Linked DNA regions of Mus musculus. The protein of the gene in region 2 interacts with the protein of the main gene of each other region in a pairwise test. Links are inferred from orthologs where the notes say so. Each region holds a gene or a part of one and is shown on either strand. Other genes may lie near its edges.

What was found. The genes of interacting proteins can lie anywhere in the genome.
Region 1: the proteins of L3mbtl2 (region 2) and Phf10 interact in binary tests that used the Homo sapiens proteins (3 or more experiments, as listed by UniProt). The two-hybrid records come from large-scale screens. The link is inferred for Mus musculus from reciprocal best matches to the Homo sapiens genes L3MBTL2 and PHF10.
Region 3: the proteins of L3mbtl2 (region 2) and Paics interact in binary tests that used the Homo sapiens proteins (3 or more experiments, as listed by UniProt). The two-hybrid records come from large-scale screens. The link is inferred for Mus musculus from reciprocal best matches to the Homo sapiens genes L3MBTL2 and PAICS.

Annotation. Positions count from the first base shown.
Region 1 is NC_000083.6:14,957,890-14,962,761, reverse strand, and holds the start of Phf10 (PHD finger protein 10), read left to right. Parts: upstream 1-1,501; 5' UTR 1,502-1,567; coding exon 1,568-1,651; intron 1,652-3,236; coding exon 3,237-3,343; intron 3,344-4,872. UniProt on the Homo sapiens protein: Involved in transcription activity regulation by chromatin remodeling. Belongs to the neural progenitors-specific chromatin remodeling complex (npBAF complex) and is required for the proliferation of neural progenitors.
Region 2 is NC_000081.6:81,662,342-81,667,138, reverse strand, and holds the start of L3mbtl2 (lethal(3)malignant brain tumor-like protein 2), read right to left. Parts: upstream 3,251-4,797; 5' UTR 3,139-3,250; coding exon 3,115-3,138; intron 1-3,114. UniProt on the Homo sapiens protein: Putative Polycomb group (PcG) protein. PcG proteins maintain the transcriptionally repressive state of genes, probably via a modification of chromatin, rendering it heritably changed in its expressibility.
Region 3 is NC_000071.6:76,949,654-76,954,672, forward strand, and holds the start of Paics (multifunctional protein ADE2), read left to right. Parts: upstream 1-1,648; 5' UTR 1,649-2,166; coding exon 2,167-2,182; intron 2,183-5,019. Other genes in the region: Ppat (amidophosphoribosyltransferase), read right to left, coding at 1,304-1,431. UniProt on the Homo sapiens protein: Bifunctional phosphoribosylaminoimidazole carboxylase and phosphoribosylaminoimidazole succinocarboxamide synthetase catalyzing two reactions of the de novo purine biosynthetic pathway.

The sequences.
Region 1 (4,872 bases), on a different chromosome or scaffold from region 2:
GCACTCCCTTCACCTCTACATTATTTGTCGGCTCTATACTTCATGTGGATACACTATATATATTTCAAAGGAGGAGAGAAGTGCTGGGCTTACTTTCTGGAGCTAGAAGCTGTGGCTGTGAAAGGGAACTCGAATTCTAAAATCCAAGAGCTAGATCACCACCACCTTTTCTGGTTTGGTCCCCTACATTCTTGGAAGTGTTGTGGGGAGTGGAGGGGATGGGGGGTGGGGGATGTAGGCCTGCCTCTCTGCCCCTTGCCTTTGTCCATTGGACCTGTTGTCTTCCTGGTGCTCTTTTCAAAGGGTGGGGTACGGCCTTTCCTGTGGCGAAGTCTAAGCACTAACATCAATATAAATCCTGTCCAAACACCATTGGACAATTGGCTTCCATTTCCAGGAATTCCCAATCCTGTGTCCTGCAGGTGACTGTGCTGACTCTGTCATATGATTTTGGGAACCTTCCCTATGTTCTCCTTGCCTGACTGGGTTCCGTTCAACCTGAGTGCTGCTGTGACTTTTCCCGTGGCCATGGGGGCCACTACGCCAAGGTCACAGGAGAAGCAGTTGTAGAACAAATGAGCCAAGAGCGCCTTGGGGATCCTGGGGTGTGTGGAGTGAAGATGGAGAGGTGGGGTGGAGAAGTCAGAAAGGACTCAGGAGAAGGGGATCTCAAAGAGGGAGGAGGCGGAGCTCCTGGGGTGGTTGACCCTAAGGGCTGCGAGAGAGGAGGAAGTGGGCTGAGGACACTAATCCTTCATTTACAGAAGGGAGCGAGGACCCTGGTGGAGAAGGGGAGGTCGCCGCGGCTGTGGAGACCCCGGGCTGAGAGGAGGGGCTGGGGACCGGTAGGGGTGGGGTTGGTGGGAGGATACCGCGCGGTAGGGACCCTCAGCTAAGGTGCTGATGATCGGGAGTGGGGAGGACACGGCGGCGTGGTGGCGACCCCGGGCTGAGGGGAGGAGCTGGGTACGGGGGAGGGATTGGAGAACAAGCGTGGTGAAGACACATCTTTGAGGGGAGGGGCTAGGGACCCAGGTGGGGACAAGGCAGGCACCGCCGACTGAGGACCCCCGGCTGACGCGCAGCGGAGGAGGGGAGGGGGCGGGACCGCGGCGGGGCGGGGCGGCGCGGAGCCGCGGCTGACGCGGAGGGCCGGGCCGGGGGCGCAGGGAAGGGGCGGCAGCGAGCTCGCCAGGCGGCCAGGAACCCGGGTGGGGCCGGGACCGAGGCGGTGGCTGGCCAGCGGAGCTCAGGCCGGGCGCGGCGCGCCGGGTGAAGGCGGCAAGGCGGCAAGGCCCCGGCCGAGGCCGGCGGAGCCGCGCAGCTGCGGCCGGCTGACGTGAGCGGCGTGCGGGTCCCGGCCGGCAGCGCGCTGGCGGCCATGGCGGTGGCGCTGGCGGGCCGCGGGGCGCGCGGCGGCAGGGGCCGGCCCCCGGGCGGGCGGGCGGAGGGGGCGGGGCCGGGGCGCCGGGCGGCCCGCGCGACAGCGGCGGCAGCGGCGGCGGCGGCGGCCGCTGGGACTAGGCGAAGGCGGCGACGACGACGGAGGCGCGGGGCGCTTGGGCTGATGGCAGCGGCCGGGCCCGGGGCGGCGCTGTCCCCGGGGCGGTGCGACAGCGACCCGGCCTCCCCCGGAGCGCAGTCCCCAAAGGTGAGCGGAGCGCGCTGCCCAAGGGGCAGCGGCCCAGGCCGGGCTCGGGAGAGAAGAGGAGACCGGGCGGCGGGTCCTGGAGCAACAAGTGCGGCGGACAGTGGGCGCGGACGTCGGGGAGACCTGCGCGGCGGGGTGGGAAGTTGTCCGGGAATAGCTGGGACCGGGGGACTCGGGAAGAGTGCTTGAGACGAAGCGCCCCCAGCCTGGGAAAGTCGGAAAAGTTGGCGGCCTTGGGGATCTCAGTCGGGGAGACGCTGAGCGGGACGTGCGCTCGGGGTCCCGAGTTGGCAGAACGTGGTTTCACACCCACAGACCCGGCCAGCCGAGGTGGCCCCCGCCACGTGCCGGTCCTCCCTGGTGGGGTCTCTGACTGCTCGCAGGGGGCTGCTGGCTCCCTGTCCTGACCGAGGATGGTGCGGAGGGGAGGGCCTTACCTGGAACGTAGCCCTTAGGATTCCTACAGTTGTGAGCTGGTAAACTCTGTGTCAACTTCCGTTATTGTTTCTTTTCGAGAGGATCATTGTTTTTAAGTAAAAGTATTGACATACAGAAATCCTTAAAATGTCCACAAATTAATAAAATAGTGCTTAAAATTAACGGTGTCAAGCCAGTATGGACCATGAATACAGTGAAAAACATACTAAGAAATTTAATTATCTTTCAACTTCTTGATTGTTAGCTTTAAAAGGGAATATTAAGTCTACTTGATTTCATTCTTGAAGAGTGAAAAGGGGAATGATTTCTATGTTCTTTTTTAATTTGGAAAGTAATTTTAGTAAATTCCTAGGTGCTGGAGACATAATGAAATATAAAGTCACTGCTAATCACAACGTTAACATATATCAGACAGCTATGTGCTACCTGGCTCTTATGTGATCACTTCACTGCATCCTTGCATCAGCCACCTAGGCTTTAGGACTGGGGAGAAGCTTGCAGCACACAGCTGGTGGAGGGCAGTGCTCAGTAAGATTCTCTGGCAGCCCGCAGTGCCATGCTGACTTGGCATGCTAGCCTGTGCTGCCTTTTCATTCCCTTCCGTGGGCCTTTATTGAAATTTATAGTAAGAGTAGTAGTGTTAGGAGCTATAGTACCTTGATTTAAAAAAAAAATAGGAGTTTAAGCCTATTAATTAACGTAATGAATTGTTTTTAAAACATTTGATTACTTATTTCCTTAATGGAATGGCTCAACAACCTATATCTCCTATGAGTTTATCACAAAGTGTTGAATTTCTGCCGCAGAAGAAAAGGAATGTAGTTAGACGTGGTAACCTGTATCCAGTCCTTCTTCATCTCCAAAGTAGCTAATTAAAATGCGCCTCCGGGGGGCCAGTTGTAAGCTGAAGGGTACTATGAAACTTACTAGTATTTATTTCCCAGCTCAAATAGGAAGGCTTGCTTTGATTTTTAAAGTGGTGTGGCTACTAAAAAGCAGATGTTTGAACACAATCTAGTTGGTAAGAAAGTGAAAGCAGAGTACATTTAAAATACAGTTGAAAATTTAATTTCATTTCGATTAAAGGTCAGATTTTAGTTTTATTCATTCTTAAATTTTCTAATTTTTTAATCATTTAAATGTACAGGATGATAATGAAGATAACTCAAATGATGGGACCCATCCATGTAAAAGGAGGCGAATGGGCTCAGGAGACAGCTCAAGAAGTTGTGAGACTTCAAGTCAAGATCTTAGGTACTTTAAGGTTCAGTAGTAACTTTCGTAGACTTTTGCTCACTTCTTCTTCTCCTGCCTATTCCAGGCAGCAGAAACAGTTATTAAAAATTATATGTGTTGGCTGGAGAAATGGCTCAGAAGTTAAGAGTGCTTGCTTAACTGGAGGTTGGTTAGCAGCCCCACATCTCATCTCATAAGCTCCTGTAAACTCTGGAGGATCTCATGGTCCATTCCGGCCTCCACAAATGTCTGTATAGAGAGCAAACAAACAAATCTTCTAAAAAAGTCATATACTATCAAAGTAGGTCTCACTCCTGATAACTGTTAAAAAGTTATGGTAAAGTAGGTATATAAAACTCACCATTGTAACACTTTTTATATATAAAGAGTATATTTCAGTACAACCATCACTCTCGGCCCTTTCCAAAACTTTAGTAACTCAAACTGCCTAACCCTCCAGTACCTCCCATCCCTTCCTGCCTCCAGCTGCTGGTTACCACAGTTCTACTTCCTGCCCTGAGTATGAACCAGACAGTACCTGCCCCGTGTTATCTGGCTTACCCATAACCATAGTATCTTCAAGGTTCATCGTGTTGGAGCTCCTTAAGTCTGAACAATATTCCATCGTATGTTCTGCTACATTGTGCTCATTCACCTGCAGGCTGGGGTAGTTAATGCTGAAGTGAACACTGGCATTCAGACCCCTGTTCTTAATACTCTGGTATATAACTAGAAGTAGAAAGCTGTACCACACGTTGATTCTGTCTTCAGACTTTTTAAGGACCTTCCATACATTTCCATAGCAGTAGTACCAGTCTGCATTTCCACCAACAATACACCTTGCAACATTATTTTTGCTCATTTTGCTGATAGGCGTCCAGAAAGACATAAGGTGATCACCCACTGTGATTCTGTGTTGTATACCATGGCTAGTGGTGCTTGCCGAATATTTTTTAGGTGCTCTTTGATCATTTGATTTATGTTTTTGGAGAAATGTCTATTTACTTCTCTGTCCATTTCTCCACCCCTACCCCAGTTTTTGTTTTTGTTTTTGTTTTTGTTTTTTTGAGACAGGGTCTTAGTATGTTTCTCTGGCTGTCCTTGAATTTACTATGTACATGAGGCTGGCTCACAGAGCTAGATTAAAGGCATGCACCACTGTGCCCAGCTGTCCATTTCTCTTTTATTTTGTGCTGATGAGTTATGGGGCTCCTTTATGTATTCTGCATATGAATTCCTTTATCAGGTTTGTAAGTAATTCCCAGCACTCTGGCTCTTTCCCCCTGTAGTTGATAGTGTCACTTTCTAAAATCTAACTTTAATGTCTGCTTTTATAACTTTTGTTTTGAGTGTTAAGTCTAAGAATCTGTTGCTAACATAGGGTTTTCTAGGCAGCTCTTACATTTAGGATTTTAATTCATTCTGAGCTACCTTTTGGATGTGATGTGACAGGAGGTGAGGGTCTTTTCTGTAGCTTTGCGTGTTTCTGTTCTTTTGTAGCACCAGGTTTGGGTGCTTCATGAGCTAGTTTTTGAATGAATAAATGA
Region 2 (4,797 bases):
ACGAGAAGTTACAAACTGGCTAATCCATCCAGCATGAGTTGGGGATTTGAATGTTGGTCCTCTGAAAGAGCAGCAAGAACTCTTAACTGAGCTGGGGGTGGGGGGCTGGCACGCCCCTTTAATCCCAGCAGTGAGGAGGCAGAGGCAGGTGGATCTCTGTGAGTTTGAGGCCAGCCTGGTCTAGGACAGCCAAGGCTACACAAAGAAATCATGGCATGAAAAACCAATATACGGGGCTGGTGAGATGGCTCAGTGGGTAAGGGCACCCGACTGCTCTTCCGAAGGTCCGAAGTTCAAATCCCAGCAACCACATGGTGGCTCACAACCACCCGTAATGAGATCTGATGCCCCCTTCTGGTGTATCTGAAGACAACTACAGTGTACTTACATATAATAAATAAATAAATCTTAAAAAAAAAAAAAAAAAAAAAAAGAAAAACCAATATACGGCGGTTAAGAGCACTGACTGATCTTTGGAAGGTCCTGAGTTCAAATCCCAGCAACCACATAGGGGCTCACAACCATCCATAATGAGATCTGATGCCCTCTATCCTCTTCTGGTGCGTCTGAAGACATCTACAGTGTACTTAGATATAATAATAAATAAATAAATCTAAAAACCAACATATATATATACACACACACACACACATATCTATATACATATCTATATCTCTATCTATCTATCTATATATGTATATATTCATTTAAAACATCTAGGAGACTAGGTATAAGAGGCTAGGTATTGTGGTACACACCATTAATCCTAGAACCCTGAGCTTGAAACAAGTCTGGTCTACACAGCAAGTTCCAGGTCAGCTCAGACCGCACGGTAGACCCCAACACCCCCACCTCTCTCTTCACTCTCTTTTTTCTTTTTGTTTGTTTGTTTCTTTCTTTTTTCTTTTTCTTTTTTTTTTGAAACAGGGTTTCCCTCAGTAGCCCTGGCTGTCCTGGAACTAGCTCTGTAGACCATGTTAACCTAGAATGCAGTGATCTGCCTGCCTCTGCCTCCCAAGTGTTGCGATTAAAAGTTTGCACCACCACCCTCTGGCTAGTAGATCCTCTTAAAAAAAAAAAAAAAAAAAAAAAAGAAGAAGAACAAGAAGAAAGAAAAAGGCAGGTGTGGTAGTGAACGCCTTTATTCCCAGCACTCAGGAAGCAGAGGCAGACAGATCTATGTGAGTTTGAGGCCAGCCTGGTCTACAAAACAAGTTCTCCAAAAAACAAAACAAGAAAAGAAAGAAAAGAGGACGGGAGAAATGTCTCAGCGGGTAAGAGCACTGACTGCTCTTCCGGAGGTCCTGAGTTCAAATCCCAGCAACCAGATGGTCGCTGCTCGCAACCACCTATAATGAGATATGACGCCCTCTTCTGATGCATCTGAAGTCAGCTACAGTGTACTTATGTATGATAATAAATAAATCTTTGGGCCGAGGCAAGCAGGGACTGAGCAAGCAAGGGTGACTGCAGAGAGTGGGGTTGACCAGAGAAAGCAGAGGTCCTAAAATTCCCAAAAACCACATGAAGGCTCACAACCATCTATCTGTACAGCTATAGTGTTCTCACATAAATAAATAAATAAACAAACAAACAAATAAGAAAAAAGAATGGACTGTTTCCTCCAATGACCATCTGTACAGCTATAGTGTACTCACATAAATAAATAAACAAACAAATAAGAAAAGAGAATGGACTGTTTCCTCCAATGACCACATGGCTAAGTGCAAGCTGTGGTTGGTTTGAGCCTCTGCTCAGCACCAAGACCCCTCATACTGGTAGCTTGGGTACAGAGCAAAATTCCAATTTCAAAGAACAGCATCTATTGAAAAGATACTGTTTCCACACCACTATCAGGTCAAAAAACGCTGCCAGGGATCAGAGATCTACACAATAATGTGGAAATATCCTAAGCACCTCAAAAAATTTTTACTGGGCTAGAAGGCATTTGAAACTCTTTCTTCCCTCTTCTGTATATGTACATCCAAATGATCTCAACTCAGAAACAAATTTAAGACTGCCAGGCCCTCTTGCTGCTGCCTAGACCACTGCTCCTTGCAATGTATCCAATAAACCTGTTTTCTTCCTTAAAGGAAAACAGGGAAAAGAAAAAAAGACTGAGAAAATTGAGACCCAGGCTATCCCAAGGAGGCTTTGAGTCAGATGACTAATTGTATGGTGGTATGGACCACAGCCGTGAGTTGAGCTCTGATTGAAATCAGCTACTGATCCTGGGGCAAGTCACTTAAGGTCTGTGGGACAATTTTCTCATCCACGACAGCTGTTGGCTCACAGAATGTGAGGTAGCGATGAAATGCTACATAAAAACGTACCTAGCTTGTAATAGGAAAAAACGTGCCTAGCTTGTTGGGCAAGACAGAGGTAAAGAGAATGACGCTTTGGGCCAAGGTTCAAATACGATCTCTAGTGCTTCCTAGCTGTACGATGCACAGCGAGTCAAATGCACTGCCTCGGTTTCCACCAAATAAAGACAACACCACTATTTAATAATATTTTGGGAAGGGATGATAAACGTAAAACACTCAACAGTGCTCAATAAAGCTTAGCAATTATTACCGCTAGGAAACGGCAAGAGACTTCAAATGCAAGGTGCGGTGGGTCACCGGCTGCGGTACCACGGAAAAAGCGTAACGCAGTTTTGGAAACTGACGTACTTGGTGACAACCTCTTGCACTTTGCAGCTGTGTCGACCCAGAGGGCTGTTTTAATCCCTCCCTAAAGAAGATGGCTGTGAGCGTACGGGGAGACCAGCACGTGAACGCTCCCAGCGTGGAGTAGGAATCAACTCCGATCTTCCTCCCTTCACTTCCCGCGTGGAAGGGACAGGCCGCACGATCCTAAAGCTCAGAACCATGAAACCAAGACAAAGTTCAGAGCCCAGTTTCCCTGCCCCTGGCTAGGGAGGCGTTGCCATCCTTCCTTCGTCACCAGACCAAAAGGAACCTCGGGGGCCTCTGGCCGAGGCTAAGCTCCGTACCTCAGTTTACCAATCCTGCAACTGTCCACCACTAAGACATCGCTAAAACGGCGCGTCCGCCGAGCGAGGCGTTTGGGGCTCCCCTTCCCGCTTGGGCTGAGCCCTTTCCCTCTTACCTCAGTGCCCCGCGGTTTCTCCATGATACCAAATTCAATTCCCTCAACCGTCACCAGGTGCAGGAAGCCATATTGCCCTCGCCGCTCTCCGAGAGTGTGCTCATTGGCTGCTGCGCCCGAGCTGCGGGCCAATCATGCCGCAGGAAATAGGAAGCCGGTTCCGCGCTCGCCCGCGCCCCGCCTCCATTAAGGAGGGGCTGGGTAGCCGTGAGGATTAGGGGAGTTGTAGTTTTCTCCTGGGTGCACGAAAAGGGTCGTTGCCTTAGTAATGCGAAATCTCCTGAAGGGTACTTCTAGGGTTTTGTTGTTGTTTTTTCAGAGACAGGGTTTCTCTGTATAGTCCTGGCTGTCCTAGAACTCACTCTGTAGACCAGGCTGGCCTCGAACTCAGAAATCCGCCTGCCTCTGCCTCCCAAGTGCTGGGATTAAAGGCATGCGCCACCACGCCCGGCGGGTTTTTTTGTTTTTTGTTTTTGTCCTTTCTTAGTCAAATTTCAAACCATCTGAGCACAAGGGATTGGACGTGCCAGCCCCCCCCCCACACACACAAAAATTCGCACTCTCCCCAGGGGCCCCAGACAAAAATTCACACTCTCCCCAGGTAGGAAGTAAAGGTGCTCTTGGACAGGAATGCCTAGCAGAAATGCCTAATCCCTCTTTCAATTCAGACAGGAACAGGAATATTCTTAAACTCTATGTCCGTCTGCTCGCTGGGGCTTATGAGATGGTTTAGTAGGTGAAGGATCTTGTTCCATGAGCCTTTCTACCTGAGTTCAAATCTCTGAGCCACAACATAAACCTGGAAGTCAAAAAGCTACTCACAAAGTTGTCCTGACCTTTGTGTCACGCACATAAAACAAACACACAAGCTAAATAAATAAATGGGGAAAAAAAAGCCTTGGACTGGAGAAATGGTTCAGTGGTTACTGGCCACTTTTCCAGAGGTACCAGGTTTGATTCCCAGAACCCAGAACAACTCACAAAATTCTATAAACCCAGTTATAGTGGATCCTACTTTCTCTTCTGGCCTCTGATGACGCCAAGCACTAACATGGTCCATACATATGCATTCAGCAAAACCCCCATATCCACAAATAAATTATACGGATAGATGTTATAACCTTAAATCTAGGAGAGATGACTCAGCCTGTAAGTGAGTACAGCCAGAGCATGGAAAGCTGAGTTTTGCCCCCCAGTGCATGACAGAGCATGCCTGTGATCCCAGCACTAGGTAAGCAGACACAGAAGGATTCCCATGGCCTGCTGACCAGCCAGCAGCGATACAGTGGATAGCAAGAGATTGAAGAAGACACCTGAAGTCAACGCTTTTGCCAACTGGAGTATACATGTGGATTGAGTCCCCTATAGAACTACTCCTTCCCATCCTGGGTTCTCAGGAATTGTATGGCCTTACAAGCATCTAAAGTTCAGACAGGTCTGGATTAGTTTACTTATCCTACGTGAGGGCTCCCAGACCCACTCCCAGCTCCCTGCCTCTCTGCGTTGCTTTTTATTTTTAAATTTTTATTTATTTACTTTTTTAATGTGTTATAGGAGTTTTGCTTGCACGTATGACTGTGCACCATATGTGTGGCCAGTGCCAACAAAAGCCAGAAAAGGGTGTGGGATATCATGGAACTGGAGTAACACGGTGGTTATGAGCTGCCATGAAAGTGCTGGGAC
Region 3 (5,019 bases), on a different chromosome or scaffold from region 2:
CAAGTCACTAAGAATAAGTTGTAGTTTGTTTGTTTATCGAGACAGGGCCTCATTGTAGCTATGGCAGGCCTAGGATTTGCTATGTAGCCTCAAAAGCTCCAGATCAGTTTGCCTCTGCAGACCTCTCCAGTGCTTTGAGCTAGTCACTGCACCCAGCAAGTTGTAACTAATTTAAAAAACAAAACAAAACAACAAAAAACATAGTCCCCTACACCATATACATACACACATTCTCAAAACAATTTTTTTGGGGGGAGGGGGGTTCAAGACAGGGTTTCTCTGTATATATAGCCCGGGCTGTCCTGTAACTCACTCTTTAGACCTGGTTGGCCTCAGAACTCAGAAATCCACCTGCCCCTGCCTTCCAGTTGCTGGGATTAAAGGCATGCGCCACCACAGGGTGGCCCCAGATGCTTTTTTTTAAATAAATGTATGCGGAGTATGTAGAATGTCAAATAAGACTCTGCAAAAGGACAACTTCTAGGCTAAGTCTGGTAAGAATAATCATTAGTGATGCATGTAGCACCCACATTGATAAAAAGGGTTACTGCCCAGCTCTGGTCTAGACATTGTTGCTACTGTATTGTAAAACTCCGTGATAGAATAGTTTTTGAAGAGAGACAAAACCCTAGTTTGTATTATTTCCATAATACTGTCAGTGAAGTCAAGAAACAAATTATGGAGGCAAAGGTCTTTTTTTCTTTGTTTGCCCCAAAGGCATCTCCCAATTTCTCATAGCTATAACTACTTTTAAACTCACGATCTCCAAACCTCTAACTGCTTTCAGGCTGACAAATCTGCTCAGTAGCTCTGCCCTTGCAAACAAAGCTCTTGCAAGCAGGAGGCCCCGTGCAAAACAACAACAAATAGAAAAACCTTCAAGTGTTGCAGGACCTTCAGCACCACCACCCTACAGAAGCTTATCTCTAGAACAGTTCTAGTTTCAAGGAGATCTGAACGGTCCCTTCCCAACCTGGCTAGTGAAAGCAAACTCCAGAGTAACTAACCCGCGACGAGAGATGCACATTCTTGGGAGCTAACCTGTAAAGAGCACTCGGGAGCAACGCGACAGCCTAAGTTAAAGTCTATGCAGGCAAAGTGTACCCCACCCCCACTTGGTCAATATCCTGAGTAGGTACTTGACTTGATTCTCGAGATTCACCCTCCTAGCCCTGATCCCCCCTTCCCAGTCATGATCCACCCTCATTGTCTTGCGTTCCCCGTAGCACAGAGCTGGGAAGCGGCTCGTGGAACTGTGCAAATACTTGCCATTCCACCCCCACCCCTCCATCCTGTTGCTCACCGGTGCTGTAGCCCCACGAGTCCCAGAGTGATCACATGCGGCACATCTAGCTGCGTGGGCCAGTCTCCAGAAGCGATGCACCCAAACACACCACATTCCTCGCGGATCCCCAACTCCTCCAGCTCCATGGCGCCTCGGAAAGCACGTGGAGGGACCTGCTGCCGCGGCGTGGTCCAAGCACCAACCAGCTGTCCGCTCCGCTATCGAACGCCTCAAGAGGCTCGCGCTACTGACTGCCTCCTTCCCGGGCGGGCTAGGTTCTCGCTACTGCGGCGGCGCGCTTCATAGAAGGGGCGTGACCAGTTCTGCCTCCCGCTCTCCGCCAATCAGCTAGGGCAAAGAGAGGGGCGGGGCTACGGAGTCAAAGAGGTGGGGAGGAGGCCGAGGTCAGGATCGCTACTTTCTCTGCACGTGGGAGGCTCCGTTATTTTCCCGCGCCCAAGGAGTAGGTGATGAGAGTGGCGCAGCTGATCGCGTGGGTCCCTCAGAAAACCTGAGCCGTTCGTGCCCCCTGGTCTCACGCCGTCCCCCGGCCGTCAGGACTTGGTCCGCTCCAACCCAGAAACCTCTCCGGCCAGCGGGGGCCTTGCAGCATGCGCGCCACTTTTTGGCTGCCTGCGGGGAGGGGCCGCCCGGAAGCGGGGTCGCGTCAGCGCGCCTGCGCGGCGGGAAGCCTGGGGACACGACTCCAGCCCCAAGCACAGCCAGCCCGGTACTTCGGGTTCGCCGGTGGGCTGTGGGGCTAGGGCGTGTCCTTGATATTGCACCTCCCTTTCCCGCCCTCTGATCCTGTGGTCGCCCTTGTTTTCCAGAACACTGCCCTTTTTTCCCGCGCGGTCTGCTCCTCTAGTTCACCTCGGATAATGGCGACAGCCGTAGGTGAGTAACTTGCTTTCGGACCCTAGGGTCCCCCAGCCCTCCGTCAGAGAGCTAGCAGGCTTGACGCATACACGTGCGGCCCCGAGGTCGGATGCAGGCCTTCCGACAAAGTGCCTGATCGGGTTCCCCAAGACGGCGCCTGGGGCCCGGAGCCTGCACACATGGTCCAGGCGCTGGAAGACGTGCGTTAAACTCTTAAGCACCCAGAGCCTATTTAAATAGCCAAAAGAAGGCCCCGGGACGGGAAGGAAAGTAGCAGAGTGGGAAAGTACTCTGAAGGTGAAATGGCCAGAAACTAACCAAGTGCCTAGAAACCTTGTAATAAGCAGATAAACAACCAAGAAAATCTATCAGGGTTTTTGTTTATTCTGGTAAAGTTAATATGCCAATAATCTCCTTTACTGCAAGTTTCGTAGTTTAAAGTGTTTGAAAACAGGTCCAAAATTTTTTGATCAGATGCTTCTTTGCAATCCCTGGAATTTGGGATTGTGGGCGTGGGCTAGTAACACCCTTAGGATATGGGTGTGGAGAGTGCAAAGTTACTTTATCCACTAACAAAACACTGTCTTGGAACAACACAAGTTTCTAGATTAATAAGGAAGCAGATCCTGTGGGCACTCCAACATTCTTTCCCACCTATGAAAACCACCCTGAAGTTTATAGGTAGTACAGCTCCATAAAATTGGGAATTAGGGCCAGACTTTTTCTGAGACAATCCACAGCGCCAGTACTTCTAAACTAGTAAAAATCTTAGAATCTAACCTCTTCCCCACATCTGATGTGGCCCTGTGCTGACAAGGGTCCGAAGAAGGTGTTCATATCTATAGTTTAATTTTGAATGGCTGTAAACTACCCTATAGATTCTGGGAACTGGACCTGGGTGCACTGTAAAACATCGGAGTGTTCTTAATTGCTGAGCAATCTCTCTGGCTTCTATTTTACTTTGTTGGTTTTGTATCCGTGGTTGTGTGCACTTGAGTACAGATGCACAGAAGCCAGGGCCTGTCTTGAAGCAGGAGTACACATGAGCCACCCAGTGTAACTGCTGTGAACTGAATTTGGATCAAGTATTGACTAAAACTCGTGTCTCCCATATTAAATCAGTATCTTGTGTCTGTTGCTCTTTAGTATTTAGCAGCCCAATGGTTCTTGGGTTAAATCTACATAGCTAATGAGTTAGTAATGAACTAGATAGAAGGCAACAGTGGGTCAGGCTGAGTATAGAGATTTTCAAGAGGACACAAACATTAAGGAAGTTAGAGTTCCAGAAAGGAAATTTACAGCTCAAAACTGGAGTTAGACCATGAGGGGCTTTTTAAACTTTGTTAATTCTTCTAAACATTAAGTTAGGAAGATGGCTATATTCATCTTTTACCTCACTGAACTATAGTGGAAATATTAGACAAGTTATTTATCACCAATGTCAACCAGAATCAAATTTAGCGTAGTTGAGGGAAAAAAATTACATTTATTTAGTGCTAATTAGAATTGTAATCTTAGATACCCAAAGGCAAGTAGGTTGGAATAGTGTATTTAGGGTTTTTTGTTGTTGTTGTTGTTTGTTTGTTTTGTTTGTTTGTTTTCAAGACAGGGTTTCTCTGTATAGCCCTGGCTGTCCTGGAACTCACTTTATAGACCAGGCTGGCCTTGAACTCAGAAATCCACTTGCCTCTGCCTCCTGAGTGCTGGGATTAAAGCTGTGAGCCACCATGCTCGGCGGGTTGTTTTTTCTTTAAAGGTTTATTTAATATATATATCAGTACACTGTAGCTGTCTTCAGACACACCAGAGGAGGGCATCAGATCTCATTACAGATGGTTGTGAGCCACCATGTGGTTGCTGGGATTTGAACTCAGAACCTCTGGAGGAGTAGTCAGTGCTCTTAACCGCTGAGCCATCTCTCCAGCCCCAGTGTATTTAGTTTTTACAAGATGCCCTTTTTATGGTTTTAAACAAGAAAGCTTCATAACAAATCATTCACAGCAGTATAGTTAATATTACCAAAAATTGGGATTTCTGATGAGAAGAAAACTATCTCTGGGTAGTTTGGGGGGAAGAGTCAGTATATTGTAGGTAACAGGCTGTAAAGCTGATGTTCCAGAAATGCAGTTTGGTCCACTCCAAAGGTCATCTCACTTAGTTGTGGCCAACTAAAATTTGATCCAAGAAAGGAATTGGCCTCCTGCATCCATTTTTCCGTACACTGCACCAGTGATAGGCCATTGATTTTTCTTCTTGGACACTTAACTGCTTCCTGTGCCAGCTGGTGGTGTGACCTGATCGGCTCTTTAAGTTTGGGGTTTTGTTTTTGCCTATTTGGTTGTGTCTTGATCACTACCAAGCTACACGGTCCTGGAACACTAAGTGCTTAGCCATGCTGACCTTGCCTTGGCTGCTTGGTCTTTCAATTACCCCTTGTTAAAGTCTGATCTTTTTTCATGTCTGTTCAGCTTTTACTTCATTCTCGACTTCTCTGTAGGGTGTGCCTGCTGTGAATAGTCTCTACCTTGTATTTTATTATAGTTTCTTATCAATTGCCAGCTTCCTTCGAGACTTAGGTCCCCTGAGAGCAGAAACTAGATTTCATTTGCTGTTCTGTCCACAGGCCCTGGCACACAGATACATTGGAAAAGTACTGAGGATGAGTGTTGCAAGATACCTGATCACACTGTGAACCCCAAGGATGCGTTACTTACTCAAGAGTGCTGTTTCTAGTTGTGATGTAGGTCAGCCCGTGGCACATATCTTTAATCCCAAACAGCAGTAAAGTTAGTTTGTAGAAGGAAGCAGCCATGTTTGAAAGTGATGTCTAATTTGAGTGGCAGGCAATCTGATGA